7 linked regions of the Coturnix japonica genome follow. The protein of the gene in region 5 purifies or fractionates together with the protein of the main gene of each other region. This does not show direct contact. Links are inferred from orthologs where the notes say so. Each region holds a gene or a part of one and is shown on either strand. Other genes may lie near its edges.

What was found.
Region 1: the proteins of RB1 (region 5) and HDAC3 purify together in Homo sapiens (affinity purification with western blotting; 3 studies listed by BioGRID). This does not show direct contact. The link is inferred for Coturnix japonica from reciprocal best matches to the Homo sapiens genes RB1 and HDAC3.
Region 2: the proteins of RB1 (region 5) and E2F4 purify together in Homo sapiens (affinity purification with western blotting; 10 studies listed by BioGRID and IntAct, with this or other methods). This does not show direct contact. The link is inferred for Coturnix japonica from reciprocal best matches to the Homo sapiens genes RB1 and E2F4.
Region 3: the proteins of RB1 (region 5) and ARID4A purify together in Homo sapiens (affinity purification with western blotting; 3 studies listed by BioGRID). This does not show direct contact. The link is inferred for Coturnix japonica from reciprocal best matches to the Homo sapiens genes RB1 and ARID4A.
Region 4: the proteins of RB1 (region 5) and E2F3 purify together in Homo sapiens (affinity purification with western blotting; 9 studies listed by BioGRID and IntAct, with this or other methods). This does not show direct contact. The link is inferred for Coturnix japonica from reciprocal best matches to the Homo sapiens genes RB1 and E2F3.
Region 6: the proteins of RB1 (region 5) and KDM5A purify together in Homo sapiens (affinity purification with western blotting; 4 studies listed by BioGRID and IntAct, with this or other methods). This does not show direct contact. The link is inferred for Coturnix japonica from reciprocal best matches to the Homo sapiens genes RB1 and KDM5A.
Region 7: the proteins of RB1 (region 5) and TFDP2 purify together in Homo sapiens (affinity purification with mass spectrometry; 4 studies listed by BioGRID and IntAct, counting the BioPlex papers as one, with this or other methods). This does not show direct contact. The link is inferred for Coturnix japonica from reciprocal best matches to the Homo sapiens genes RB1 and TFDP2.

What each region holds. Positions count from the first base shown.
Region 1 is NC_029528.1:14,737,171-14,741,457, reverse strand, and holds part of HDAC3 (histone deacetylase 3), read right to left. Parts: intron 2,431-4,287; exon of another isoform or gene 2,411-2,430; intron 2,041-2,410; coding exon 1,898-2,040; intron 690-1,897; coding exon 608-689; intron 1-607. UniProt on the Homo sapiens protein: Histone deacetylase that catalyzes the deacetylation of lysine residues on the N-terminal part of the core histones (H2A, H2B, H3 and H4), and some other non-histone substrates.
Region 2 is NC_029526.1:1,548,278-1,552,564, forward strand, and holds part of E2F4 (transcription factor E2F4), read right to left. Parts: intron 2,597-4,287; coding exon 2,535-2,596; intron 2,314-2,534; coding exon 2,028-2,313; intron 1,835-2,027; coding exon 1,643-1,834; intron 879-1,642; coding exon 831-878; intron 1-830. UniProt on the Homo sapiens protein: Transcription activator that binds DNA cooperatively with DP proteins through the E2 recognition site, 5'-TTTC[CG]CGC-3' found in the promoter region of a number of genes whose products are involved in cell cycle regulation or in DNA replication.
Region 3 is NC_029520.1:50,214,360-50,218,646, forward strand, and holds part of ARID4A (AT-rich interactive domain-containing protein 4A), read right to left. Parts: intron 3,118-4,287; coding exon 2,889-3,117; intron 1,947-2,888; coding exon 1,696-1,946; intron 8-1,695; coding exon 1-7.
Region 4 is NC_029517.1:69,383,917-69,388,203, reverse strand, and holds part of E2F3 (transcription factor E2F3), read right to left. Parts: intron 3,853-4,287; coding exon 3,738-3,852; intron 1,043-3,737; coding exon 907-1,042; intron 164-906; coding exon 1-163.
Region 5 is NC_029516.1:151,039,248-151,043,534, forward strand, and holds part of RB1 (retinoblastoma-associated protein), read left to right. Parts: intron 1-166; coding exon 167-283; intron 284-577; coding exon 578-634; intron 635-716; coding exon 717-748; intron 749-826; coding exon 827-903; intron 904-1,081; coding exon 1,082-1,284; intron 1,285-4,287. UniProt on the Homo sapiens protein: Tumor suppressor that is a key regulator of the G1/S transition of the cell cycle. The hypophosphorylated form binds transcription regulators of the E2F family, preventing transcription of E2F-responsive genes.
Region 6 is NC_029516.1:52,349,613-52,353,899, reverse strand, and holds part of KDM5A (lysine-specific demethylase 5A), read right to left. Parts: intron 3,144-4,287; coding exon 2,981-3,143; intron 2,214-2,980; coding exon 2,094-2,213; intron 1,176-2,093; coding exon 981-1,175; intron 866-980; coding exon 684-865; intron 415-683; coding exon 290-414; intron 76-289; coding exon 1-75. UniProt on the Homo sapiens protein: Histone demethylase that specifically demethylates 'Lys-4' of histone H3, thereby playing a central role in histone code. Does not demethylate histone H3 'Lys-9', H3 'Lys-27', H3 'Lys-36', H3 'Lys-79' or H4 'Lys-20'.
Region 7 is NC_029524.1:8,785,194-8,789,911, reverse strand, and holds the start of TFDP2 (transcription factor Dp-2), read left to right. Parts: upstream 1-1,358; 5' UTR 1,359-1,533; intron 1,534-4,690; exon of another isoform or gene 4,691-4,718. UniProt on the Homo sapiens protein: Can stimulate E2F-dependent transcription.

The sequences.
Region 1 (4,287 bases), on a different chromosome or scaffold from region 5:
CTGTATTCAACAGCTAAATGATTGTGAAGGCATATGAGGAGCAGCTGAAGGAATTGGGGCAGATCAGCCTGGAGAAGAGGATGTTTGGGACAGAACTCATCACTCTATACAGCTACTTGAAAGGAGGATGCAGCAAGGAGATAACAGTCTCTTTTCTCAGGTAACAAGTGATAGGATGTGAGGAAACAGCCTCAAGTTGCACCAGGGGAGGTTTAGATTGGATATCAGGAAGAATTTATTCACAGAAAGAGTGGTCAGGTAGGGAGCAGGCTGCCCTGGGAGGCAGGGGAGTTTCCATTCCTAGAGATATTGAAAAGACTTGTGGATGTGGAGCTTAAGGATTTAGTTTAGTGGTAGACTTGCATTGTTAGGTGAACAGTTGGACTTGATAATCTCAGAAGTCTCTTCCAAGTTAACTGAGTTTATAATTTTGTCATTGTAATGACATAGGAATGGTCTTAACCTTTACAGTCATATAGTGGAAAGAATTTACACTGCAAAAAAGCATAGTTTGCTACATTATTATACTAAACACATTCATGTCATTGAACTGATAGCCAGTTGTTTCCTACCAGTGTTTCAAAGACAAGCCCATCAGCTCTGTTACCTTGTTGTTCAGCTGCGTTGCTCCCTGCAAGGAGGCCCCAGTGTAGCGAGAGCAAAACTCAAAGAGCCCTGGAAACACTGGGCTGAAAAAGAAAAAAAGAAGTCATGATTCAAACAAAGGACATCTTCTTATTCCTCCACACGCCTCCCAAGCAAAGCCAGTCCTGAGAGCTCTCCTCTGCCACAACACACCAGCATCTGTCTTGCAGCCCTGCTGATGTGTGTCCAGAGCTGGGATATGACTTGGGAAGGAGGACAGGTCTGCCCCATGCTATCTTCCTTTATCAGCATTGAGAAGACCCTGCCCATTCCCCTTCCCAACTCACAGCACAGGATGCAATATACAGTAAGTGGATGTGAATGCAGCTCTTACAGCAGAGCTGAGGCAGGACCAAACCCACCATGCAGAGCCAATAAATGCACCAGGATCTCTAAGAGGGTATAGAAACAGAAGATGTGGTGCCCATGTGCCACTAACTCACAAGTATCACATCACAAACATTATACGTGGACAAATAATAGCTTAGAGACTTTTATTTCCCCCCCTGTATTCTTGTAAGTGGTTTCTGATCAAAGTAATGTTGCACAACAGCCTTCTGATTCCCAGTCTAAATATTAAAAACCCGGCTATCCCAATACCTTACTGGGATAACACTGTTCTTTATCTAATGTCACTCCTCTCACATTAGTACTTACAGCTTTCCCTTCCAAAGAATAGAAAAGAACAGTCTTATTCTCTGACAGCCATTACTTTCCTCAGACAAGGCATACTGTGCACTTCCTCGATCACATACAGCCCTTCTACACACTTCTGTCAAGGTTTGCCTCTCACAGATGTGAAAGACTGGAACTGAATATTTGTAACAAGCTCTCATGTGAATATAGAAGCATTAAACTCTCCTCAGTTCTACCTGAAAATCAGGCTCTCAGAGCTACCTTGCACTTAACATGCACATATTAAGGTAGCTAAAATAGGCAACAGTTTAAAAAAATAGATATATAATATTTTCAAGAAGAACAGGAGGTTCTGCAAGAACAAGCGGAGTCACAGTCTCTAACATAACCAGTTTAGGATGTAAATGCAGATCTAAAAGGAGGATGATAAGATATGAAGAGAAGGGGAAGGAATTGAGGAGGTTGCAATAATCTGCTATGCTCAAGAAGGGCATGCACCTCATTCTGCTTAAAAAATAAGAACCAGTACACACTACAATAGTTCTCCAGACACAAACAGTGCAAGATCACAGCAGCATTTCCACCCCCAGGTTCACAGGAGGCACAGAGCACTCACCAGTCATCGCCCACATTGAAGGCATTGAGGCTTTTGGTGAAGCCCTGCATGTTGTTGGGACTCACTCTCTGCAGGAAGTCTATGTAGTCCTCGGAGTGGAATCTGCACATGTCATGCTGCGATGCCTGGTATGGCTTGAAAACCTTCAAGAGAAAGACAAGACTTACATGCTGTCCAAAGCTGTGTTTGCTTTGACTGTAAGAAACCTCAGGCTGACAAATGACCCACACAAAGTGTATCTAAAAGTGTTCCAGTACACCAGCTTCCTGATATTCACGTTCATTGACATGCAACATTCCATAAAGCCTGTTTCCCAACAGATTCCTATCTTTTAGCCATAACTGCAACTCCAGTCCTTCATAATAACTGCAGCTTCTCCTATACACTCTCTGATCCCTTTTTTCCAACACTATCCCCCCTCGCTTTGGTTGGACAAATGGCAAACCAGCAAAAATAAAAGGCAGTCGAATCCAAACTTCAGCTCTGTCCTCATGGGGAGCACTACTGCCTCACCAGTCACAACATCCTGATGTAATGGAGGTTCCAACCCTCCATCACAGCCGCCTCCAGGGGCTGGTAAGTTCAGACATTCATTTGAAGAAGGTTCTTAGGCAGATGGAACATTTGCATAAGCTTTGTTTCCTTTGGAAAGTCAGCTAAAAACAGTCACGTGGCCGGATGGATTCGAACTAAAGTTCTCATGACAACACACATTTGCCAGTTTGGCACTTAACACGCATACCTCAATAAACAGGAAGTTAAAAATCAACACCACATACCCAAAAAGGGGAAATTAAAGCTACACTGAAAGCAGTAACAAAATCTTCCATCTTTCAAAGCTTGTCTTAATTAAAGCACACTCTCCAGAGGGAGAACATGCTGGGGCAGCTCCCACAGCGCACCTCCCTTGGGCCAGGCAGGACCCTGGATACTTTTCAGAAGTAAAATACAACCTAACAAACATGACATCTCCTTTACTGTGCAACTGTACTGCTCAGCATGAGGCACGGTGCTTTCAATGTGAATGTGTGGAGCTCTGCTCCTCAGAGGCTGCTGCCTGAGACAGCTGGAGCCAGGAGGGTGGGACCAGCAGGTGGGGCTGGACCCCCACAAGGACTATCAGGAATCCTGATGACTGATCACCTCAAGACCACAGTGTCACAGAAAAGAAGAGACACTCACAGGACATTAAGAGGTGCTCTTGGATAAAAAACAACCAGGGGGAGCAGAAAGGAGGGATGAAAAACAACAAAAAAAGACAACATCAAAAGCTTCCAGACCTACTTGCTGTTGGTAAAAGTGGAAAGCTGCCTCTTTTCCCCTCATCTTGCCCTTCACTCACTGCAGCCATAACCCCAGGCACCTCCCTGAGCATGCCTGGCACTCAGCCCCTCGCTCAGCCAGCTCAGCACAAAGCTCTCCTGGTTTTGCTGAGTGACCGAGTTCCATCTGTTCCCACAGGATCCAGCAGCTTCCAAATGCAGCATAGGAAAGGCAGCAGGAACACACAGCAGAAAAAGCAGGGAATCATAGAATCACTCAGGTTGGAAAAGACCTAAAAGATCATCAAGTCCAACCACAGCCTAACCATAGTACCCTAACTCCAACAACCCTCCGCTAAATTGAGGCAGAGAAAAAGCCTCAGAGTGTGGAAGGAGAAAAAAGAGCAGGTTTTGCTGGGGCAGGAGATGGGGACAAGAAAATCAAAGGAAGGGAAAGGCCACATGGCAGGGTGGGTGGCAAGGACCAGGAGTTCCACTGGGAAGAGAGAGCTGATATTAAAGGGGGATAGAGCATCCCCTCCAGCCTGCATTCCATCACTGTGCCAAACAGGGATTGGCTTCCCAGTGACTGGCCAAAGAAGTCAGCATACACCAGTGTGAGGATGGACCCTGCATAGGGCTCAACTCTCAGCAGCTGCTGATTAATACACCTGCAAAAGCTCCTACAATGGCAGCAGAAAAATCCAAAGGATGCGATGTTACTGAACACCAAACTGCAGGAGTAACACTGAATGCACAAGGGAGCTTTTTTAATACTTCATCATTCTGAATTAATTGCAGATCTTGCATCACGGAGCAGTTTCACCGGCCCATTTTAGCATCTCCTTTTTAAAAATTGATGCCGTGTGTTCATTTTGGGACAGCTCATTTTCTATTTCCTCCCACTCAATCCCCAGGTCTCTCACCACAGAGTGCTCTGGCAGTGGAACAGCTTGAACTTGAGCCCACGCCAAATGCCAGGCACTCAGAGCGCTAAAAGATCATGTCAAAATGGTGTGGCACGTTTAAAGAAGCTGAGATCCAGTTTTCCTGCTTGCATTAATTTGTCTGCTCACACTTTGCTACCCTGCCTGCAAGAATTTTGCACCTTGTCCTGCAGACACCACG
Region 2 (4,287 bases), on a different chromosome or scaffold from region 5:
CATGGGAGGTTGGCCAGCTGCCCACCAGCAAACATCTGAGCTCTGTATATCCTTCCCTAATGGGCCATTAACTGCTCTCTGCTCCACTGCCCACACAAGGCTACAAGCAGAAATTATCTCTGAAACATCGTTCCTTCCTCCAGTGATGTTGAACTTGGCCAACAGGACCACGAAGCACTTGAAAGGTTGGCAGGCAAGCAGCCAGGCCAAGCGTGTGCAAGCGGATCTTTCCCCTTTTAGAAGCGAAGTGTTTGGAAACAACCTTCTGATTCCCTCTCTCACTTCACCAAGTTAAACAGTGATGATCTCAATCAGCCTGGCCAGGCCCTCATCACCCACAAGTGAAGTGATCTTCCACAGAACAAACTCAGATGAGCCCGTCCTCAAGATGCTGATGCACTGCAGGCCATTTCCTAAAGAACAGGAATGTACCCTGCCTAGTTCCATGCTGTGAGATGAGAGGATTTCAACTAGAGGTAACCAGAGAGGAATAATATGAGCTAAAATAAATAGCAGTAAAATACAGAACCTATATTTTTAGACCTTCTTCAGTAGATGAGGGTAAAACAAGCAAAATCCTTCACAGCTTTCACTCCTGGATCTGAACTTCACCCCTCCAAAGCAGGAGGAATAGTCCATAAAACAGCATGCATTACTGCAGAGAGAAATCCACAGTGGCACGCTGCAGTTGAAACAAGACTAACAGGGGTTTTGCTGGTGGCTCTAGATGATGCAGGCAAGTTGGAAGAGGAGTGTGGGAAGGCAGAACACAGATTAGTGCTGGCACAGGGCCTGAAAAGCTCTCATCTGTGATCAGGGTGTGAACGTACCTCTCGTTGGATCAAACATCTCTGACAGCTCTTTGGGAAGCTCCAGCACTGTGAATATAACAAACCAAATGATTGACTTTGTTAAATGCAGCATCTGAAATACTATACAGCTTCATCAGCCGCTGCCCTGCTATCCTCTCAGTCCTTATGCACCATCCCCTTCTAACACATTAACTTTAAGTACTTCTGCATGGAAGGTAAGCTTCGAAGCATTAAAGCACAGTGTCTTATCCAGAGGATGCTCTTCTGTCTGTGGACCAGCCTGCCATTTCCCAGTCTGAAGCTAACACTTCCTCATTTAAAGCCCATTGCACCTCAACAAGCACAGCAGGAAGCTTCCCAGACACATACTGGAAGACAATAAGACCACAAGATTGCTACAGATAGAAGAAGTACTTCTGAGTAAAGGAGAAAAACAGAGAGTAGAGCTCTCCTAATAACCGAACAAGTTACAAGAGTGATGTCAGTGAAGGCTTCACAGTCTCAAAACTCAGACCTAGCACTACAAAAGGGGCTGAAAGAGAATAATCCTACCTAGAACAGCACAGATGCATCACGTGAGCATCCCTTGTGGCTTTTCTGAGCCTAGCATCACAGGTAGTGACACGGCACTAGATGTGACACTGTCATCTCCACACCAGGTTCCCCAGCACCCACACACTGCTGTGGTTTCTCCCCCCAAAGAAATGCCTGTTCACTGCTCATGTGGTCTGGCTGACAGAGTTCAGCTCGTCCCCCTGGAGCCAGCAGCCCCTCCCTCGCTCCCAGTGGCACAATCTGGAGAGACAAACAAACCAAGGGTGCATACTCACTTCCTTCAGGATCAGGTTTGATTGGCTCAAAGGAGGCAGAGGGGCTGGGTAGGACAGAGCTGCTGTCCAGTGAGGCAGAGGACTGCAGCAGCTGCGTGTCCAGCCTGGCTGTATGGCTGCTGGGTGCAGACACATTGCTGAGGGGATCGAGGTCACTGCTGCTCTTGGACTCCAGCACTGAGATGCTGCATTCTGGAAGGAGCCACAGACACACACAGTATTTCCATTAGCACATCCAGTCCCACTAAGATGAAAGCAAAGGCTCGGTGCAGCAAGCACAGAGGTGCTCCCTTTGCCAGGAGCTGACAGTGCTGTATGACCAGGTTTGTACTGCCCTATTGGTCGGCAACCATCCCATTTCTGCTCTCTGCAACCTCCCTCTCACCTGTGTTCGTGTGTTTCTGCTCAGGAGGGCTGTGATCCTGAGTGCTGGAAGGTGTTGGCGTTGAGGGCTGGGTGCTGCTGGGAACAGATGCCTCCTGGAAGTGGGCAAGCGGAGGGATCTGTGGTTTTGAGGGTGCAACTGCCTGGCACTGGATGAGGTCTTCAGGGGGTGGGACGGGTAGCACCACTGGAGGAGAGCTCCAAGCATCCTTGTTTACTAAGAGAACATCAATTGGCCCACTGGTGCTCTTCAGATGGATCTGATATTTCTTCTGCCTACTCGGGCCCTGAGAAAAGTCAGAAGCAAAACACAGATGTACATTAAGAGCTCTTTCCAAACAGATCATCTTGGCAACTATTTAACAGTCAGAGCCTTCCTTGAGTTCCAAGTTCCTCCAACTCCATCAAAACCACAACCACCAACTCCTTCCCAACTCCCAGCCTGCTCAGTGCAGCAGCACTCCCCCATAGCACACAGCTGCTCTCTATCCACGCACTTATCACTCACCTCAGGGATGGGAACCTCTAAGCGTGTGCCTGAAGGGGCTCGAATTGCAAGGAGGGTGTCTCCTGTGAAAACAGAGCAGGTCGGCACTCACAGGGCACAGGCTGTTCCAATGCTGACAAAGAGCCCCTGGCACTTCTCAAAGTCCACACAGCTTTCCCTCTTTTGGAGGACTGCCATTTACACCCACTCAAGCTGCTAAGCAGATTGTGGAGCTCTGAACGTACCAACCCTGAGGGCATAAAGAACCTGCAAAACTTCTTTCCAAGCAACCCTTCCGAGAAAAGTCAAGCATTTTTCCAGCCGATTCCTCCACAGAACTCATTCATCTTCCCCAGTCTGAATTGTGAATAGGATGGCACACAGCTGGAAGAGCTGCCCTGCCAGCAGAGACAGCACAGCAGCCTCACGTGGACCAACACCTGAAGCCGATGTTCCCTTGCCTCTATCAGCAAGAGCTGCCTGGTGCTGGCTGTGTTGGCCCCTGCACAGAGACACAGAGAGCCAGGCTGACAGCACCATCTCCTTTCCAAGTCCTGCAGAACACAACAAACCCAGATGAGCTGCTCCCAATCTGCATCCAGGTTTATATTTAACACGAGAAACATGAATGGGGGAAATACCAGTGCTGTAAAAGCAGGCATATAAAGACCGAGCAGTTAGCAGCTTTCAGTTTGAATATTTAAACTTTAGTGTGGTTTGTGTCCACGCTTCACCAACATCCTGCGTGAAGGACTGATCATCTTCCCTACGATCCACAGAGCAGACAGCAGAACAGCACATCCTTCTATTACAGACAGGTAACAAAAGGTCAGCTCAGCAAAAGTGCAGGGATTAGAAGCACAAGATTTGTGGAGGAGATGGGAGTCCTTTAACAAATCTACACTTAAGGAAAATATTGTTAAATGATGTTAAAAAGGCATAATAAAGCCCAAAGAAAGCTTAAACTTAAAGACCCAACGGCCTCAACATCACAGGCACTGCCTTTCTATCTCTCTTGATAGCTGAGTCCCAAATGTTTTCACAAGACAGTCGGTGCACAGTGTGTTTCCACTTCCTTTTGGTCACTAACAACTAAGGTTTTTGGTGTGGTCTGAGTTCAGAAGCAAACTCTTTTAGGAAGAAAAACAGGTGCAATAAAATGCAAACTGCTCAATGAACCAAGCAATAATCTGTCTGCTGGTCTCCAGGAAGCTCCCACAGGCTGTTACAAACTATCTGGCCCCAAGCACTGTCAAACTGAAAACACAACCCCCGTCCCCAAGAAGCCTGACCTTAAACCAGAAGAAACAGTAAAGCAGGAACTCAAGCAGGATAAAGTCTGGTGAACAAGGAGGACAGTGCAAGAAAGGAAAGATGAGAAACGGAAGAGCTGATGATGAGACAGCTTGGAAGAGGTGAGCAGTCAGATGAGGGTGAGATTATGCACAGCTGGGGTGGGCAGGATAAGCAGCTTCCCCATTGAACTCTCTGAGGCAAGCAAGCAGATGTAGGTTGCAGAGGGTCAGGAGAGGGCAGGCATTCACTGAAGCAGAAAGCAGCTCTGAATCCACGCTGCTACAGCTGAGAAGGCTGCCAAACTGCACTGGGGTATTTCTGGCCCTGCAGCTATCAGTGCAATTGCCAACAGAGAGGAAACAGACTCCTGCAGCTTTTTTGCCACTTTTGCCCCTCAAGGATGTGAAGTCACAACAAGAAGCACATTCCCTTCTGTCCTGCTCTTCACTCCCTCCTCTTTGCTCTCCTCCTGGTACAA
Region 3 (4,287 bases), on a different chromosome or scaffold from region 5:
CTCCTCCCTGCAGTAAAATGTATTTTAAATATCCACTAATTAGTGACAAAGCTTTAACATTTAAATAGCACAGCCAAGCTACTACCAAAGCAAAAAAGACTGCAACAAAACAAGTTCATTTGCTGCATCACGCCCTGCCACTGGAGCCAGACTGAACACAACTCTGCAGGCTTAGGATTTTAATGAAAATTTAGATAACTCAGACAGAGGAATAAATCAAACTCAGTGTTCGGCTTCTAATTAAGACAGGAAAAACTAACTTCAGTTTTTAAAATATAATTGCTTTTGACACACTGCTGTAAATAATAATCTCTTCCTTCTGCATGTTGCTTAACAGCTTAAAATTTATTAACAGCATATGAAAGTTTAGAGTGCAGCGATTCCCTCCAGGATATAAACACCATTCCAATGAAACAAATATTGATTACCATAGTTTTAACCAAGATAAGAAGTGTCTACACAGCTCTTCTGTCTATACCTACATCTTATTAGCAAAATCCAACCTTAAAACACAATATCTAACTATAATTCCAACAATCATAACCTGCTGTTAGGAAGAACTTAGAAGAATGTTAAGCTACAAAGAGTCAGCAGCAGAGGCAATCCTGAAAGACTACAAGTTTACTTTTAATAATACGCATTCACCAGCCTTCAGGGTCAGATGAACTATTCTGCTGTGGCAAACAGAATAAAAATGAAGATGATGAGCACCACCTGCATTACATAAAAGAAAACTGTCTTTGATGCCCTCATCACTTGACATAACTCTGCAACCTCTCACCCACCCACACTGCACCCCCTTTTTACCTACTATGGTCTGTTGAAAGATTTCTCTTTGGGTTGCACAGTGATGATTTCTTTAAAGTTAACTGTGTGTGCTCCCACTCCTCAAACCCCTTTAAAACATGAAACAGCTCTACCAGGCTTTATCCAGTATCAGCTGTGTCCCACACAACTCAGCCACATTGAAAACAAGGCAGGAAGGCCAGCTTAAACAACTAAGATACTGTTCCATACCACAGCCAGGGATAGCGAAGAAGAGGCCTACTCTGGCAACAAGGTAAGACACCTGGTGACAGCCTGCTTCTGACCAAACCCACTTCAACTTGTCAGACTTTGTTTCTGGACAGTGTTTTCCCTTGGAAGATACCACTCTTCAGTCAGTTTGCCCTTTCTACATCTCACTATCCAGTAGTTTTCAACCTGTCTTCACATTTCATTCAAACTTCCTCTTTTCCTCTCCTTTGCTTCCTTAGCTGAAATTCTGCCTACCAATGATACATTAAAAGTACCCATGAAAACAAGTGAATTGTACATTCACCAGCTATCACTAACAACAGAGAGGCTGTTTTGTATTTCAACTGCCCAGTTGCTCACCATCCATACAACAGCCCTGTCTTACTTGTTGCCTATATAGGAGTGTGATAAAACAAGACCTTGGCAAGACCATCAAGAAGATGGAAATTAAAAATACTGCTTGCCATGTCTACCAAAAAAAGGCAATACCTTAAGGTACAATAAACTCTACAAGCCCAAAATAGCATTTTCCTTTCCCTTTCCAGCTGAGCAAATGAGGTTTCTGATTTTCACACTGTAGAAACCAGTCAGACCTCCAAAGTCTGAGGATAATCTTGCTTGGAACATGCTCTGTGCTGACAAAGATACACTTCTGAGGTGACACAAATTAACGCTTACCTCTCCCTCTGCCTCTCCTCATCTTCATCTGACTCTTTATCAGACTCCTCCTGCTTTTTAATCTTTTTCTCTTTTTGCTTTGGTGTACTTTTCCTCCCTAGTAGAGTTTCGTTTTCTTTCTTTTCTGCATTCTCAAGGCTTTCCTCTATATCTTTGTTTTCCTTGTTGTTGTCTTTCAATTTATCTTGTGTTTTATCATCTTCACTATCTTTTTTAGCAGGGGTTGCATCACGGGCAAGCCGTCTTCGTCCCTAGAACAGAAATAAAACCTGATTAAAATCTACTGTCACTTGTTCTCAGTATAGGCCCCCCAAATACACTACGTCTGGATGGAAGAAAAGCTGGAACTAACACCAAAGAGCAAAATATTCTAAAATCTTAATAGATTAACTTAAGTAGTTTTGTTATCAACAGGAATAAAGAAGATGAGGTTGGGAGAATTCCAAGATGCCTGTAAGGTCTGCTGTCCCTGACAACAACAGCAATACTGCTGAAGTGCTCATATTGGACTGAGACGTGGCACCTTCCTTTTAGTGCCTCCAGTCCCAGTAGCTACCTGTTGAATTCACAGGATTCATCTGTCAGCTTTAGAAATACTGAATGTTTAAAAGGTATTTTCAGCAGTGGGACAAACTGCTGTTTAGGACTTTCCTCGACTGATTCTTGGGGCTCTAGTACAGGCTTACCGTGTTACTATGAAAGTATCTTTGACAGGGACACTGCATAGTGACTTGAACCTTTTAAGTACATTATGAAGAAATACTGTGCTAAGAATCAACTCTTTCTGTGGTAAAAAAACAGGTCCTCCTTTGATTCTTAGTGCTTCAGCAGTCCCCTGATATGCCTGCTTGACACAAAGCTCCAGGCTCCACATGCAAGTGCAAGTTCTCACCCATAACCAGGACTACCCTGCTTGTTCACAGTGTTCTGCTGTCATACAGCTCTCTAACCACCCCCAAACAGAAACACAACTGATAACCAACACAGGCTTAGCAAACCCTGTGGAAGGTTTACAAAATGAATAATCAAAACACAATTAACAGCTGAACACCAACTCCTGTTCACTGAATGCTGTCCTATAAGAGTGCTAATTCAAATGTACAGTTGCTGCACAAGGGAAAACTCATTATGTAAACTGTTCAGTATACAAAGGGGTTTTAAGTACTAAATAGAAATCAGTCTGAACTACTTACCCTCGGGGATCTTAGTTCTATTTCTTCTTTTTCGCTCTCACTGCTGGAATAGTTTTCTTCTGCTTCTTTTTTGACTTCTGTTGGAGGCATTTTTTGCTCCTCTTTCACACTCTCCTCCATTGGTTCCTCGTGTTTCTGTATGTCTTCTACCACTTTTGGTTCATTGTGATGAATGGTCCTAAACTGAATGTTTGCAGAACGGCAGTACTCTTCAAAACCATAAAGATACCTGTATAAAAGAAGCAAGAGTTTCATCTACATTTCAGCTTTTATTTTTCTTTATCCAAGTGCAAAAAACCTATTTTCCTGTTCATAGGGAAGCACAGTAACTTTAGGAAGAAAAAAAAGCAGTTTCTGAAATAAAACAACTCCAAACAAGAAGTCAAGCAGCAAAAAAGACAAGTCAGCACACACACACAGGTGCTTCCCACAATTTTAACGTCATCCCTCTTCAAATAAGAACTCGTGACATTGCAGCCTAAGAACAGTATTAAAACAGGGAAGGTGATGGAACAGCTTGTGCTGGATGCCATCTCCAGACAACTGGGTGATAAGGAGGTTATCATGAGTACTCAGCATGGGTTCACCAAGGGTAGGTCGTGCTCGACCAACCTGGTGGCCTTTTATGAAGATGTCACTAGCTGGGTGGACAGGGGGAGGGCGGTAGATGTAGTCCACCTTGATTTCAGTAAGGCTTTTGATACTGTCCCCCATGACATCCTTTATAACAGCGAGGAAGTATGGGATTAGATGAGGTGGCGTGAGTGGGTGAGAGGCTGACTGTCAGAGTGCAGGGTTGTCGTTGCGGTGCGGTGTCTGCTGGAGGCCTGTAACATGCGGCGTCCCCCGGGTCGTGCTGGTCGGTCTTGTTCAACATCTTCATCAACGACCTTGATGAGGGGATAGTGACCACCCTCAGCAAGTTTGCTGATGACACTGAAGGCTGTGCTGCCATTCAGCGAGACCTGGACAGGCTGGAGAGCTGGGCAGGAAAAAACGGATGAGGTTTAACAAAAGCAAGTGTAGAGTCTTGCACCTGGCTAGAAATATTGCATGCATACAGGCTGGGGAAGAGCTGCTGGAGAGGAAGCTCTGCTGAGAGGGACCTGGGCGTCCTGGTGGACGACAGATTAACCATGAGCCAGCAGATTGTGCCTTGTAGCCAAAAAAGCCAATGGCATACTGGGTGTGTATTAAAAAGAGCGTGTCCAGCAGGTCGAAGGAGTGATCCTCCCCTCTACTCTGCCCTGGTGAGGCTCTATCTGGAATATTGTGTCCAGTTCTGGGCTCCCAGTACAAACAGACAGGGATCTCTTGGAAAGAGTCCAGCGGAGGGCCACTAAGATGTGAAGGGCTGGAGCATCTCCCCTATGAGGAGAGACTTAGGTACTGGGTCTGT
Region 4 (4,287 bases), on a different chromosome or scaffold from region 5:
TCTTCCTGAAGCAGAGGAGGCAGCAAATTCACAAATGGTCCTTCAAAGTTTGAGGGAATTTGGTCCTCGGTCTGCTGTAGTAGGTTGGCTGGAGAAGCCAATGGAGAGATTGTTGCCATATTTACTGAGCAGTCACCTTGTCCTGAGTTAACGGAAGCCACTTCTGGAGAAGGGGAGAAAAAATAAAGATGATACACTGAATGCCATGAGAACTATTAGACCTGGATAACATAAAGTAACAACTGCATATAAGCCCATCATAAAACATCATTTAAGCAAAAAAAATTCCTCGAGATCAGATAATTTGTAGCCTATTTTTGACATCTTAACAAAGGGCTTCTCAGAAAAAATCTCAGGTTTCTATCAGCACTGATTTTTTTCCAGTTAAAAAACAAAATAAAAAATCCAAGATCTCAACAACTACTGAATAAGATGCATGAAGGATGACTTTCTTTGTTAGAGGAGCTCACAAACCTGAAGTACTCCCAAGTGCAACCCTTCTATGCAACAGATGTCATCAGTGACACTGTGCAGCTTTATATACCAATACACAGAAATCTTTGGCTGGTGTTGAGAATGATCTCTGCTGCAGCCACCCTGTTTCAAAACATTGTAGGAACAATTCTTCTTTTTCCCCAATGTGTCACATACTTTGCTTACATAGCTCCATATCATATGCAAATACAACTCTTATTTTTAAACTCCTGTCAGAGAGAGGAAATGTTTTCCCCTGAATATACATTGGAGGAACATAGTGGATAATGGGTACCTCAGCTTGCCACTTCTTTGAAAATTAAAGCCAAAAAATAAAAGCTGTGTAGCAGAAGTAAAAACAAATAAACAAATAAATAAATCTTGTATAAAGCATGAAGGAAGACTTTTAGTATTAGAAAGTAATCATTTTACCTTTGGAAATGGTTTTGGAAATGTTTCCATTGTGGTCCTGACTATAGGTTTTCATTGGACTGAGAGCATCGTTTTCCTCTGGGCACAGATAAACTTCAATAGGTCCTTGAGTACTAGATAAATGTATCAGTGCACTCTGGTAACAGAACAAACGTGGGTAAGATGTTACAGCAATGAAGACCACAGAACACTGAGACTCACAGTAAGTTCTTAAGGGGGTACAAGTAACAAAAGGTTTGAATGTGTTTTTTTACTAATCAAAACAATGCGAAGTTCAACATACAGCTGTGACGACACGAAAGGCTTCTAAGATTTGTGCACTAACCCAAAAAAAAGAGAAGTCCATCGTGTGTTGCATCATAACCAGAGAGTTATAAAGGACTGAACTCCTAACAATTTCCAATGCCCACAATAACCAGGAGTATTCTGGTGGAACAGAACTACGGTATCCAAGTCATTATTTCTAACACTGATATTGGATGTATCTGTGTAAACACTTCTGCTTCAAAAAGGTGTCAGAACAACCTTTAATAAAAGAAAATCTTTGGTACTGATTCACACTGAAATCAAACAGCTGAAAGTTCACCCGTTTGCTGGGGGATGCTTTTCCAAACAACAACAAAAGCATTTTCATCAATAAAGCCTGTTTAGAAATGCACTTCTGCTCCCCCCTCAAAGAAGCAAAGGAAGCAACTCTAGTTTTAAAGATGCTCCCAACAGCAGGATCTCTTAATTCATTTCAACTAGTTTTCTTAGCTTTCACACACTGATGCAATAAAGCGAAGTGGTATATTGCAGACAGACAGAACATCTCCAAAGTTGTTCATAGTGTCACGAGGAAAAAATAATAAATGCCTCTAGTTAAACATAAGCCTGCTCTGGCTGTATTACATTAATAGAGTTAAAAACAAAAACAAACATGAATTCAGATGTTGTATGCTTCTTGGCAGGTTTAATTAAAATGCATTTGATTGTGTACTTTGACAAAATGTTCTTCATGTTATTTATGCTTTGGCAGTTATATGGCACTGTAGGCAGCATTTCAGATACAGAGAACGAGAACAAGAACCTCAGGGCACAGATAACAGCTAGGAATACTTAGAGTGATGCTGTATGTAATTAGAGAGCAGGAGTTGGAGAACATACAGTTGGGTGACTGAGGTATGCAAAAAAAAGTCACTGAAATATAACTGCAAATGAAAGAAATAAATAGGACTCCTACTGCCTAAAAAAAGTTAAATGAGTGAGCTATATAGGATAAGGGAGTGAGGGTATATAGGATAAGAGAGGTCTGGGTACTACTTTTAATCATGGTGTGCCTCTCTCTTTACCTGTCTGATTTCACTCAAAAATGTAAGTGTAATGCTTAGGGGAAAGAAACAGAATTCTTTACATATACAGATAGATACTGATAAAAGATACCCCTTCCTCTCTGTAGCAATTTCTTTTTCTTCCCAAACCTACATCTGCATTCAATGAGGAAGTTAAGGACAGTGAAAGGAAAAAAGAATAAGATGGAAACCACAATGAGCCTACACAAGTGAAGAAGAACCTTGGTAAGAGAAGTGACAGCATGGAGTCTGTTACTGCCTGCCCAGGAGCAGGTAGCTCTGGGATAATGGAATCAGCGCAGTGATGGTGACAAAGGAATAACACAGGGGAACGTACACAGCACAGAGGATTTTGTGCTTTAGCCTCATCTCTAAATGCTCTCCAAGTGAAGAAATAAGATGTTTTTTGACTCTCTAAAGCTGTGGCACACGTAGAGCATTTACATTTGCCCAACATACATGGGTCTGCCATGTTAACTGGGAGCTGTAAAGCAGCACACTTTTGCCACCAAAAGCTAAAATCCCAGGAGCAGCTAAATCTTGTGGCTCATAAGACATGAGAAACGATGTGAAGCTGCTCCCTGTGGATATTTTCAAAGCAAAGCCACCAGAAGCATTTTTCACTGTAACTGTAATGTCAGAGAAAGGAAGTGAGAAGTGACTAATTCACCTGGATATCTACCTGAAATAAAAAACAAAGTGAGGAAAATAGAATGAGAGCCGGACATCCTATAGACAAAAGCTGGCACTGAGAGACAGACTGTGGCCTAAGCACTGTGGCCTAAGCAGCAAGAGGCAAAAGAGGAGAGATAGAGATGAACATGGGCAGCTTCTGAAGTCTTTAAATAGAAAAGGGAACCTCCAACCTCTACACATTTTACAGTAATAAAAAAAAGTGTGCTAGCAGAATGTAAGACATTCTACATAGATGTGTTAATATATATTTCAATAGAGAGGATGATGGAAGAAGGAGAAGTCAGAAAAGATTCTAGGAATGAAACACAAGCTTCAGCAATAGCTTTATTAGTTCAGAGAATCCTACATGAAAACATGTTTCTCTTCTAAATAGGATATCAGTAATACAAGACAGTGAGATGTTTAAGACTTTAATTTATCCCTGAACTAAAAGACTAAAACTACTTAAAGCTAGAAAAATAATAGTCAAAAGTCTTAAGGGAAAGGTTTTACAGGAATGTTCAACCACTGAAGAAGAACCCATTATTTACATAGAGAACGGCAAAAGAGAATAAGTTGTAAATAGCATTGATTACTCTGAAGGGAAGTCTGGAACTAAGAGAAGAAGATCGAATAAAGATTACTTTGTGTAAAATTATTGTTTAAGATTCACCTTTTTTAAAAAACACCTGAAGTTTTTGAGACAGATGATTACAGAATTGTATGCCAACAGGATTCAACTTGGGCACAGTTTTTACAGTAAAGCATGGTGTACACTTACTCCATGTATAGAATAATGAACAGAATAACCCACGTTCTCCTTACCTCCACTGGGTCAGGCACTTCAAGTCTTGTTTCTGGAGGAGCTTTCACAACTATAACAGTTTGGTCTTTAAGGCCACTAATTTTTCGAATATCTTGGTATGTCACATAAGCTAATGTAATCACATTAAGGAATTTTCCAACCCAGATTACAATATGTTTAGGCTATTAGAAGAGGTAACATTTTTTGAACTGCTTTTCCACCTTCTCACAGCTTTCTTACTCTGAGCCCCAGGTTTCCTGTCCTCTGCACTGGTTGCAAAACAAGTGTGAGAGAACTTTCATCTAACACAAAAAGCACAAAAAAAAAAAAAAACAAGCAAAGTTTTGGCCCTACCTAAACACAAGGAAAAAGAAAACATCTTCAGAAGCAGAGACTCTGTCTGTCAAGGTTAAGCGCCATTAAGCAATCCCATGGCTTCAATTATATAAGCTAAAGATGGCACAGAGGTACAATCAGATCCATCCTCAGGTTTAGCATTTTTGCTTCCCTTCCTCACTAATTGCTAGTATCATTGGCAAACTTAAGAGTAACAGAAGGATTCCGGGGACT
Region 5 (4,287 bases):
ATAAATCTAATATTATATATGATACCTTAAATACTCCACTTTGATTTATGCTGATGAGGTGACTAAGAGAGATGCTACAAGGTCAAGCAGGACTAATTGAGGTGTTTGGAAATAAAATACTTTCCTTGCCTTTCCTTTCCCTCTCCTCTTTTCTGTACTTGACTAGAACTGCACAGTGAACCCTGAAGACAGTATCCTGAAAAGAGTGGAAAGCCTTGGACACATCTTCAAAAAGAAATTTGCTGAAGCAGTTGGGCAGGGATGTGCTGAGATTGGCTCACAGGTAAGTAGCATTTTGATTATTACTTGTTATAAACTTGATGCTAGCTAATGTGTGACCTGACTTACTACTTTGTCTTCAGTGCAGATTAACAATAGAAAGTACTAATCTTTTCAAGGAATGGATATGCTTTTCTTTTAATGCTCTGTAAAGATAGCATTAACAAGTGGTTCTTGTTAATGCTATGCTAATACTAATGCAAGCAAAAACAAAAAAGCAAGCCAAAAAACATAGGATTCTTAATTTTTTTTCTTTCTTTTTTTTTTTTTTTTTTTTTTTTTCCCTCCTTTCTAATAGAGATACCAGCTTGGAGTACGGCTGTATTACAGAGTAATGGAGTCTATGCTGAAGTCGGTAAGTTTCGTACTGATAGCTGTGTACTGGCATTGCATTTTTGATGGCTGAAAATAATCAAAGCTTCATTTATATACCTCAGGAAGAAGAGCGTCTCTCAGTGCACAATTTTAGGTACGTACCAACCACTGATCATTATTACCTGTTATTTTATTTTTGGGATAAGTATTAATGATTTCGTTTTCCCTTTAGCAAACTTCTGAATGATAACATCTTCCACACATCTCTTCTGGCGTGTGCTCTTGAAATTGTCATGGCTACATATGGCAGTAAGTTGAATCCAAAGTGCTAAGGAGCACTGTTAGTGATTGCGAATTATTGCTATTTATTCTAATATGTAAAATGCAGTAAATAGCAAGGAAACTAGCAATGATTTAATAAATACCAAACATGTGAGAAGTGAAAGAATGTAATGCTCTTGGTAATCGTAATCTGCTTCCCTTACAGGAACTGCTTCACAAAGTGATGGTACCAGTACCGAAACAGACTTGTCTTTCCCGTGGATTCTCAATGTATTTGATTTAAAAGCTTTCGACTTCTACAAGGTGATTGAAAGTTTCATTAAAGTGGAGCCAAGCCTAACAAGGGACATGATAAAGCATCTAGAACGCTGTGAACATCGCATTATGGAATCTCTTGCTTGGCAATCTGTAAGTAATGTTTTAAAGCAGTTATTTGTCCTTGTATAACATGCAAATCTAGAAAAAAATACACCTAGATATATAAAAGAAGTTGAAGTCTTGCTGAGATGTGTTTCTGGCAAAGAGCTAAAGAAGATCTTTAGTGTGTCTTCAGGTTTTGGGAAGAAAGAGAGAGATCAGCTTAGCACTGCTGAATTATGTGCCAGCATCTTTCAATAGTCTGGCATGGATATTAAGAGTAGTAATGCCCATACACAGTATTTTGGTGCCAGTAGACAAGGCAGTACATTCTATGCACTTATCTCTAAACTTCATCTGGTTTTTAGTCCTGCTTGACTGTAAGGCATTGTGCATCTGATGTGATTGTTAATAGTATTTAAAATCCCAATTCTCATTGTAACTTGCACTGAAATTCCTTCAACTTTTTTGAATGGCATCAAAAGCATTCTGGCAGGTTGGGTTTTGTGTTTCAGGGTGAATCTTCGTAAGTCAACAGCTGTTTCTTTATACTGTGTATTAGTTATGTACCAAAAATGCTATTAATGGTACAAAACAGGAGACTATAAAGGCTGCTGACAGAATGACATGAAGTGACCATTTAAGAACCCATATGATATCTTGTAGATCTGGGAAATTTAAAGAACATTATATGGCATAACTAATATGATATTCTACTGTGAACCAAGTTTGTATATGATTTTGGTTAGATCTTGGTGAGATGCACATGCCTCTCTGCTGCTGAATGCATAGAATTTCTTTGAAAAAGACTGCCTGAAAGCACTTGAAGATTGAGAGCTTTGTACCAGAGCTTATAGTAGCAGAGAAGATGAAGAACTTTGCTCAAAATGTTTAAAGAATGCTTTGCTTATTTGAGAATTTTAATGCTTGGAGGGTAATGACAGAGATACAAATACTTAAATTTTACTCTCCACAAGCAGAAAATGGCTTCTGACACCTCATGCAGACTGGTTTGATTCCAGCTTAATCATGAGCAGGAAGGCTTTAATCTACCAATTTCTACTCAGTAATCCAAGCACAACATGCAGATAATCTGATTCAGATTTGGGCTTTCAGACTGGAGAATCCAAAACACAGTGTTTTCAGTATTGAATCTGTTGTCTTGAGTTGCCTGAGGTGTTTGGCACTGTCTTGGAGTGGCTTATGCAGCTTATTTCAGAGGCTGTCAGTAGGTATCTGTAGAATTGCAAAAGCACTTACTTTGTTCCCTTCTTATATAATGCTTGGCCTGTACTTAAAACACAGCTAAGCCAACATCCTCCTCCTTGATACAGGCAGGCTCATCACTAGAGGGCACAGCAGGGCTCTCAAAAATGGAGGGTAACGTGCTGACAGCCAGCTATGTGCTGGCTGCAACTGGACTGTTACTCTCCACAGTTACCCTGTGACTCTGTGGCCTCCTCATAGGAGGTCCTCCCTTCCCTCTAGAATTACTATTACAGTAAATAACTTACATAACTGACAGTTACTATGTTGTTAAGGCTAGCTGGTTAATTAACATTTAGATTTAGACTACCTCAAGTACTCGGGTGCAGTTTGGGTTTGTAAGAAATTAGTGTCCAAAGGACGGCTATAAAGATGGTGAAGGGTATGGAGGGCAAGTGGTCTGAGGGGCTGCTGAGGTCCCTTGGTGTGCTCAGCACAGAGCAGAGGAGCTGATGGAGGCCTGATGGTGGCTGCAGCTCCTCACAGGGAGCAGAGGGGCAGCGCTGAACTCTGCTCTGTGTGACAGCGACAGGGCCCGAGGGTAACAGTTAAGCAAAAGGAGGAAGTATTTCAGTGGTAGAAGTCTGCTAAAGGCTTTGGATTTCCTCAAAAGATTGAGCTAGTGAATGAGTGGGTGATTTATTGTATTCCTCTGTGGTTTATTCTCTGGATGCTGTCTCCATGTACTGATGTGCAAGATGAAAAAAGTATAATCTTAATTAGTAATTTCCTCAGTAAAGGGTATGTAAGTTGAGATGTGTACTTTGTAAATGTCTCTTATCTCCAGATGCTATAAGGGAGCAGAATGGGTAGGTAACTTATGCTTAGTTATAATGCATGTCTTACAAGTGATTGCAGGCAGAATGGTTCATTAGGAGGTTTGTCTGCTCTTGGGAAGTCAAGTGTATCGTCTGTGTTAATCCAGTTTTTCTTCCTTCTGCTGACTGCTTTTGGAAGCAAGACTATAATGTGAAATTTGAAGGGATGGGGAAATTGAAGGGAGAATAGCTGATTTTATTGTAGTTTTACTTGTTTTGAGAGTTTTCATAAGAATGCTTTACATAATTTCTCTGAAGATAAACTCATCTAAAGAGCTCATCTAACCCTTATCTGACACTGGAAGCTATATGCAGTAAACGTGAAAGACTGAAGATAATACATTGCTTCTTTGCTAGTCATCATGAATACGCTTATTGCTTTTTGCATTGCTAGTTGATTTAGTTGTCTGTACATGAGGAAGGAGATCAAACAGCTCTTTTCCATTAAGGAAAAAAGAAATCATAAAAACAACAAACCAAAAAACCCCACCCCCAAATAGTGGAAAAATATGGAAAACTCTTCCCAATAATACTTAATTCTGAAAAGGGGCAAATGTTGACACTAAGTCATGCAGAAAGTATGGCATTTTCTTTAGATCTTAAATGAACCCTGAAGTTAGAAGCCCCTTTTATCCCAGTAGAAGTTATCCACAAATGAATTTGTGCTGCTTCCAGATGCAGATTATATTCAGACCAATTTGCTACATATTTTTTATTCATAAAGTATACCGTACTATCTGTATATTTAACTGTAAAGCATTTGTACCTCATCTCATTGAAGTATTTAGGGTGCTACTTACATTTGGTAACTTGATTTAAAGGGCCTAAAATTACTTCAGACTCAAAAATAAAGGTGTCTGTACCCCTTGATTCATTTTCACCTTATTGATGATATAAGTACATTTTAAACCTTGGAATGGTTGGTCTGTTTCCTATGAGAAACACTTTTCTATCAGATCGATATCTCTTG
Region 6 (4,287 bases), about 99 Mb from region 5:
GCTTACGGAAGAGATCATTTTCTGGATATTTCCTGTCTTCAGCATCTTCCAACATCACTCTGAGCTCAATTACATCTGTAATAACAGCATATAGTATGAATGTAGAAACAAAATACATTTTAGACTGCTTCCCAACCCTTACATCAAGGTTCCAACAGGCTAGTTTAATTTCAAATGCACAAAGATGAGTTTCTCATTCATTTTTTTCACTAAACACAGAGATTTGTCTCACTAAATCAGAAAAAGTAGGATGCCTTTCAACTCCTGCAACAAAGAATGGAAGTCTAACCTTTTTTGTGGTTGAGGTTGGCAGACAGAGCCTCTGTAACTCTACTGACCCAAGTGTCATAAGACTGTGCTCTAACTTTCACTCCATACAGCAAAGATGGAAGGTCTTCTAGTGGGTACCGGTACCTGGAGATATGAGAGAAAAATAAAGCAAGAGTATTAATGCTTACACAACACCTTAGGATATTGCTTACTGTTGAGTTTTCCCAGTTAAAATAAGGTCAGGACAGAATATGTATAATAACCTCTACCTTGAACCCAAGAATCAAACAAAGAGGATAAAAGCACTCCTTAAATAAAGGAAGAGAAAAAGAGTGGCCAAATGTGATATTTGGCAATCAGTCTTCAAGACACTATTGATCTGGAAAGGGAAAAATAACTAACTACTGGCATACCTTAAACACTTGTTCTGCATGGGGCACGGACATAAATCAGATGGGTGGTATAGGCAGACCAAGCGCTCAGGATTACAGGAACACGTAAGAGCTGACAAGAAGCACGTTGTTCTGCAAGCTGTGCACTGACGTTCATCATCTGGAACCAATTCAAACACCTCTTCTTCAGACATTAACACTCCCTTTAAAAAGAAAATTGGACACCTGTTAAAAACTCTAGTCCAGGTGAAGCAGAGAGGAAAGGGGAGAGGAGCAAAATTTCTTTTGAGAGTAAAAGAGTTATCTTTCATTACTTACCATCTGTACAACAGTTTCCCTTAAGCGTGTTTCTTCCTCTATCATTAGTGTCATCTCCTTGCAGACCATGGCAGCCAGCCCAACATCCAAGCACTCCGGATCTGCAGCCATCTTAAAGATCAGTTCTTCATGGGAGAAAACGCAATGACGCCCAAGCCTTCGGTAGTGACTCACACACTGACGTCCAATTGGAAGCTACAAAAATCATTGTCATTAATCATTTAGAGACAAAACATTTTGAGACAATCTCTCACCACCCACTTTCCTTCACAAAATCCAGGGAAAGACAGAATGAAAAACAGAAAGATGTATTATGGGAAAGAGGTGAGACACACTGCCATCTAGAAATAACTACGTTTGGACTGAAGTTAACCAAAGCCAGTATCAATCATTTTGTGTCTTCTAAAGCACAAAAAGAAAGCATGACTCGACCAATTTCCTATGCACTTCTGGGTTACATTTTGCCTAGTGTCAGAATAGGAGTTTTCACGTGGGCTACACACAGAATATGTCATAAGCATAGAAGAAAAAAAAAAAATCTGACAAGTCCACAGACAATTTACCTAATAAATGAAGAAATTCTGGATGTTAAACTACAGATGAGATCCTATCTTATAACCATAAACTCTGAATAGTGCTAAGGAACACTTTTAACAACTTAGTGAGGAATCCATATAGGTTATGTTCTGGTGAGTCATGTCTATTAGAATATGGACTAACACGATTAAAAAAATGCAATGATATGACACAAAAGGACAAGAGTTCTATGCCTACCTCTAAATTCAAATGACAACAGCTGTTCAAAGCAGTACAATAATCTATATGAAATCCAGGAAGACGCATTAGAGAAAAACTAGCAGAAGAACTGCAAGATCAATATTTGAAAAGGAAGACCACATGTGAAAGCTTCATTTTGAAGCTGTTTAAAATTGTGTGGACACCAAAATCATTTTCAGCAATGGAAATTAACAACAGTCTTGCAGTTGTTCCAGGAACTACAAACATAAAACACACTGTGAGGCATAGAAGATCACACCAGATAAGAAATAACTAACGCTCTCCTTGAAAAGGTCACCTAGTGGAGACATAGAAAACATATACAAAAGAGCAGACCCAGTCAGCAGTGCAGAAGTTCACAGCTTCAGCAAAGTTGTATCCCTGGTTAAATCCAGAGTGGTAGGCACGAGGGAAGGTCACAACAAACTCGCCAGCACACTGATTGGTTCTGTACACCTAATGCAAGTGAAAAGAAAGGATGGTGGGGGGGAGAAAAAAAGGCACTGAAAGACTTGCAACGCAATTCGAATGTACTGAACATCACTTGCATTACCTATACAACACTGTAGTCAACATATCTAAGTAATAAGGTTTGATTCTTTCTCTTTAAAACAAATCCTCAGTTTATAGTGTTAATTCAAAAAAAGTAAGAGCTAGATATCTAATCCAGCAGTTTAAAATTCTCTTCATGAATTCCAAAAAAGGATCATTGACTATCATTATTTAATCCACCACAACCCGTAAAAGCTTCTAGAAGCAGTTTGTGGTTTGCTTTGCCAGACTGTTTGTCCAAGAAGCAATTTATCCTAACACAAAAAGCAATTCACAGTGACTGCTGCGTAAAGGTCTGCTGTCAGTAATGCTTGGTCAAAACAGTTTGCAAAGCTGAAACTTCTATAAAACATCAGTGTTTGACTGTCAAAATATATTAAAACTAATCTACGGGCAAATACAGTAGAAGGGTTTTATCCATTAAAATGAACTGTAGCACCACATTCATTTATTCTACAAGACATTTTAAGTAAGAAGTTTGGCACACCCTCTTTCTGATACAAGATAATTGAATTTCATGGTGAAGCTCAAAAAGGATTCAAAAAATAGGCTTTAACGCCACCTTGTAACTAATGTACTAGAGATGTAGAGGTCCACCATATAAATTCTCCAGTTACACAAATCTGGCACAAAATGAAACTGAGTGGATAAAACGCTCATGTACTACTCACTGGTACACCATGTTCCATCAGCACATTGGGGTTCATGATAGTGACCAACTGATGAAGGAGATCAGGCTGGGATTCAAATAGCTCAGGAGCCAGCTCCTTCATCACATCTTCCAGTTGCTCTGCTGCATGAGAGGGCACACCATACCACGTCTTTGGCTCTCCCCTAACAAAAAAAAGACCATAAAAACAAGTGCATTACTTGAGGGAAAAAAAAGATGGCACCCAACTGCAAAGTACATGAACAGTGATGTTTAAAGTATAAGCCAGATATTTTTTGTGTGTAGACACAAAAACATCTTTAACAGAAATAGACTGTGGTACTCATCCACTCAATCAACCTTGGAGAAATCTTATGTCTAAAACAAAAGGCATGTTATACCACATAAGCAGAAGTGAAAATGGTCAAATGCCAAAGTGATAATCAATCCTTCTAATACACATAACCAGATACTGAAAACCAGTAGTTCACTGGATTCCAAAGACAGAAGATACCTAACCACATGTATTATGTGAACACAGAAAAAAAGTGACAAACAGGACAATAACAGAGAACAACTTCAGAACATATTATTTTAGTCCTTCCAGTCTTAACCAAAGTGAGCTATAATGTAGTGATCTAGAACATATAGTACAGAGGGTTGCATTTTATTTAAGTACAAGTAATAGTCTGCCAAAATATATGAATCAATTTACTTGCTACGTTTCAATATTAATTACCTCAACATTACTAAACAGCCCAAAAGTTAGATAAGGAATAATGCAATGTTCTCTATGATTCCTACAGGCTTTAGTGACACCTACTGGTAAGACAGAACTAGCAAGCCCCAGGAAATACTGCTGTTTCTGTCTGAGCTGCTGGAATTCACCAGCAGACACAAGACCATCACATATTGACCCAGTCAACAGAATGATGAGGGCCATAAGTGAACTCTAAACAAATGAAATACTCCCTCACTGCCTGTGGAACAGATCTATCAGCAAACAGTTCTCCAAACATGTGCAGTCACAATCCAGAGGCTATCAAACTCAGCAGACAACTAACCTATTCTGAAGGAATGCTTCCCACAGTCTCCTCTCATGAAGACTGACTGCAGCACAAGGAATGAATCTGTCACGATGATTCTTCTCAAATAAAAAACAAACACCAGAACAGTACTAGAAATGTCCTGGAAGTCAGAATTACTTTGAAATTTCAATTCTCTTAAGCAGGAGTACTCTGTGTAAACATAACCCTGCTCATGAACTTTCAGTTTTGATGCCTGCCTAAGCCACTAGACAGCAGTCTTCATTTCCAGCAGGGGCTTACC
Region 7 (4,718 bases), on a different chromosome or scaffold from region 5:
ACATTTTAGTTTGAGGTTTTACAGCGAGACGGACAAGTTGAGCTCATTCTTCAGGAGAAATGTGGGCTGTGGGGGTTATGGGTGTGTGTTGATATTACAGCATGGGTTGTGGGCTCACAAAGCATTGAAATGAGCAAACAGTGCAAAGTAACGTGTTATGAAAAGGAAAAGGGGAGATGATCTGGAAAGTATCAACCAGATGGGGAACACGGTGTTGTGCTGAGCCACCAACCAGAGAGCAGCGTCAGAGCTTCCGAAGTGTGGGTCTTACTGCAGGAAATCACTGACTCCCTGCAGAGCTAAGGAACCTGTTACAGCAGTGTTCAGTGTGGATCTCCTTCTGAGACTGAGTTTGGGCTGTGTCTAAGTTCTGAGGAGTAACAGGTTGGTTTAGAACCATGCACAAGTGGTGCTTACTGCAAACTGACCATTTCAGCATCTCCAAGCTGAGCAGTGTGTGCATACAAAGGCAGCTCGTTCTGCAGGCACTGAAAGCCAATGCCAGCTACAGCAGTCACCGTCCATCTCCTTTCCACAATGGTTAAATGCCTTTTTCTTGTAATCACAGCATCTGACATAACTTTGTAAGCACTGCATAAAAATAACCAAATGAACTAGAAAGAAGTTTTAAAGACACACATGACTTTTTATTGAGGCAGTATTTGAGTTCAGATCTGGGTTTAGCACATGGAACTTAGGAGGACTGCAGGAAACCAGGCACTCTGCCTGGCTTCTGTTCTGCTGCCTTCCTTTCCCGCAGCACGGCCTGCTGCGTTGCACGGCCTGCTGTGTTGACTGTGAGCTGCTTGGGGCCTTGGCAGCTATGTGAGGGAATGCTCCATTTTGCATATGGTTTATTAATGCTTTCGTTTAAGCTTCTTACGTAACTGCAGGTATTGATAAAGGTCTTGTTACGTGTGACTGTTTCGTAGGGAATGATAAAGAACAGAAAGCGCACGGTCAGCACATTCCTGGGCCTGTGATTAATAACCGCCTGTGAGCCGTCCCACGGCAATAACCATCCGGCTCTCGCTCCTTAGCTCAGGACCCTGTTCTGGTGCCGATGGCTGTTCCCTGCCGTCCCTGTCCATCAGTAACACCCAGCTGTGCTGTGTTTCCCTGCACTCCGTTCCGCTCCCCGCCCCGCTCGCTCCGTCCCGTTCCCGCCGTGTCGCGGCTCCACACGCATCTGAGGCGCCGCCTGGGAAGAGGCGCCCCGCCCTTCCGCCCCGCCCCCTCTCGCAGCGGCCTCCTCGGATTGGCTGGCGGCGTGTGTACACACACCAGGCGCGGCCAATGGTGCGCCGAGGGCGCCCGACCTCGCGCGAGGCGGCGGCCAATGGGAGCGGCCGGCCGGCAGACGCCGCCAAGCTTGTGCGGGGGAGAAGGAGCCGGGCAGAGCGCGGCGGGATCGGGCCGGAGCAGCCGCGCAGCGATCGCGGCGCCACGGAGCGGGACTCGCGGCCTGTCCCTGCCGGGCCGAGCTGCGGGGCTCCTCGCCAGGCGGCGGCGTGTGGAGCGGAACCGCGGCCGGTAAGTGAGCGGACGGCGCGTCTCGGCGCCTCAGCGTCGCCGCCCGGGTCCGGTGGCGCTGCCGCGTTCGTTCCCTTCTCCCGCCCGGGCCTGAGAGACACGCGTCGGGATCCCGCCGGGACAGCAGCGCCTTCATTCGGGCCGGGGATTGCGCTTCAAACGCGCCTCGAGAAGGACAGGGCCTGCACCGCACCACGGCCTGGGTGTGACTGCGTGAGGCGGGGTGTGTGAGTGTGTGTGTGTGTGTGTGTCTGTGCCGGTGCGGCCGCTGACCTGACACCTGCGTTGGCCGCGCGCTCTCCCGGCTGTGTTTGGGGCTCCGCCGGTACGTGACACGGCGCAGGGTGCCGCGGGGCCTCTCGGTGACGGGCCGGTGTGAGCGGCCGGGCCGCGGTGCCGATGGCGGCGGGGCGGAGTGGGGGGGTTGTTGTGGGGGGTCGTTGTGGTGCGCGCGGTGCCCGGGGACGCGCCGAGGCCGCCACGACAAAAGTTGGAAGCGCCGCTCGCCGCGCCCCGCCGGATCAGGGCTGAGGGCTGAGGGCTCAGGGCCTGCCCTGCACGCCGTAGGCCGCACGGGCTTCAAGGCGGAGGCGAATGGCGGGGTGAGTGCGGCGGATCGGATCCGGGTGTGCAGACAAAGGGAAGAAAACAGCTCGTAAGGGAGCTAACTCCGAACGGGGGAGAAAACCGCAGCGCGGGGCTGGCAACGGGCTGCGGAGCGCCGTGCTGTGCCGTGCATTACTGTGCTGTGTATTGCTGTGCTGTGCCGTGCCGTGCATTGCTGTGCCGTGCATTGCTGTGCCGTGCATTGCTGTGCCGTGCATTGCTGTGCCGTGCATTGCTGTGCCGTGCATTACTGTGCTGTGTATTGCTGTGCTGTGCCGTGCCGTGCATTGCTGTGCCGTGCATTGCTGTGCCGTGCATTACTGTGCTGTGTATTGCTGTGCTGTGCCGTGCCGTGCCGTGCTGTGCCGTGCCGTGCCGTGCATTGCTGCGTCGTGCATTGCTGTGCCGTGCCGTGCATTGCTGCGTCGTGCATTGCTGTGCTTTGCCGTTCCGTTCCGTTCCGTGCCGCCCTCACGTGCTGCTCCGCTCCTTGTGCCTCCTGCCCCGCCGTGCTGTGAGCGGACACAAAGCGGGTGGTCGCGTCTGTGCGGAGCGGCGCCCACTGACTTGCTCACTCTTCAACACGGCGGGTGGGAAATTCAGATGCGATGGTTACGCGACCGGTGTTTTTATTTTGGAAATGGGTTCGGTTATTTTCACGGGTCTTTGTTAATATTCCTCGCTGTTGGTTTCTTTCAGCTGCACAGTTGTACTGTAAGGCAGTAGAAATGAGGTCAGAACCAGAGCTGCTTTTGTGGTACTGTACACATCTACTGCACACATCTCGACTAGATGTGATCTTGTATTAAAAAAAAGCCAGAACATATACATAGAGAGAGGCAGAGACTGTATAAATTGATGCTACTAGAAGAGAAACGAGTAACAGCTTTGCCATTTCTTTGCCTGCATTAAGGCTTGTTTTCCTGATTGTAGCACTTTTTACCTTGTCCATGAGTGCAGTGATGTGCTCACACGGGGCAGACCCGTGGCTGCTGCTGGAGCACAGAGGTGGAACAGCATCTCGGGACGTTTTTGCTGGTGCTCTGTATTGCATGGAGGCATTTTTGTACATAGCCAAATTCTGCATTTTGAGAGCCTGTGTTTGCAGTAACCTGCTGGGCACCTGATGCAGCACTTCAAAGAAACGTGGAAGCTTAAGTTCACGTCGCAGAAATGAACATACATCAAATAAATGGTGAGGAGAGGGAGAAAAAGCATAAATTCTTGTTGGGAAATGGTTGTGCAGTGAGCCTGGTGCCTCTGGAAGAGCTAAGAGTAATGGCTCTGAGAATGGTTCAGTTCTGTACAGAGGAAAAGGTGGTTAATTGTTAGATATTGGTAGGTTTACCTCATGGCTGTGTGTTAGACTGATCACATTTTACAGACAAGCTGTTGGGGCTTCTTGTAACCGCTTCCTGCTTGCACAGAAATCACTGTGCTAACAGAACCAAAAGAAGCTGTTTGACCTGCGTGAGGTTGATAGAATTAGCGTTGCTGAAATCATACGGCACTGATGGGAAGGCCGCTGTTCCTCTAGTGGGTTCCAGTGGGTCGGCTCACTTCACAGAGTGGTGAGGCTGTGCCTTGTGTGCAGCAGCTCAGCACAGCTCTGCCATGTGAAGGAGCAGGCTGAGCAGCACAGCAGGGCTGTTCCTGCTGCAGGAGGACTCCTGGTTTGTTCCTGTTCTTGTGTGTATTGGACAGTATTGCAGGAGCCTCCTATACATCTGGAGCTGCCTGTGAGCAACCACCAAGTGAAGATAAGGCTTTGTATTTTAGCACCTTCCACTGGGTTTAGCAAGAAGTAGGAACTGTGGTTCCAGCTTTCCATCCCCTTCAGGAACACGTGATGTTGGTCATTTGAAGTCAGCAAAACTCGCTGTGCGTTGGGGAGAGCATGGTGCTCATCTCTGAAATGAGCTGACCGGGTCAGGGGAGGGAAACTGCAGCCCGTACCGGGCAGGTTCAGTAAGCTGAGGTTTCTTTCTTTGTGTGCTTTTTCTGCACATACTTGGAGGTGTAACGAGTAAGAATTTCTCATTTACTTTTCCAATTGTATTCGTAGGACACAACTACTAATGAACCAACAGCGGGTTGTAAAATAGGGAAAATAAGCTGGCAGTTGTCTGGCCTGGTGCAGGAAATGTGCTTGTGGAGGTGGTTGTGTGTACAGAACCAAAAAGCCACTGGAGCCAATGAGACAGGCTCACAATTGACAGGTGTTCAGAGGAGAGCAATGCACAGAACCAGTGTGCATAGGACATGGAAACCAATGGTGTGAATGTCTGTTGTGGGGCTTGAAGAACTCAGCACATGCTTCTGTATGCTTGGAAGCAGTGCAGAAAGGAGCAGATACAGCAGTGGAATGTTGGTTTTACAACAGCTGCCTGTTCTGATTCTTTGTCTTTTTGTAGCATCCATTGTTAGAATGAGAGCCGCTTGATTTTTCCTGTGTTTCTGGATTTATAGCAGCTCTTCTGCAGGTTTTGTTATCTTACACTAATGGCTCAGTGTTTTTTCTCTCAGAAGTCAGGCCGTGCTCCTCTGTTTGAAAAGTCGTGTTTCTCCACTTCCCTCCA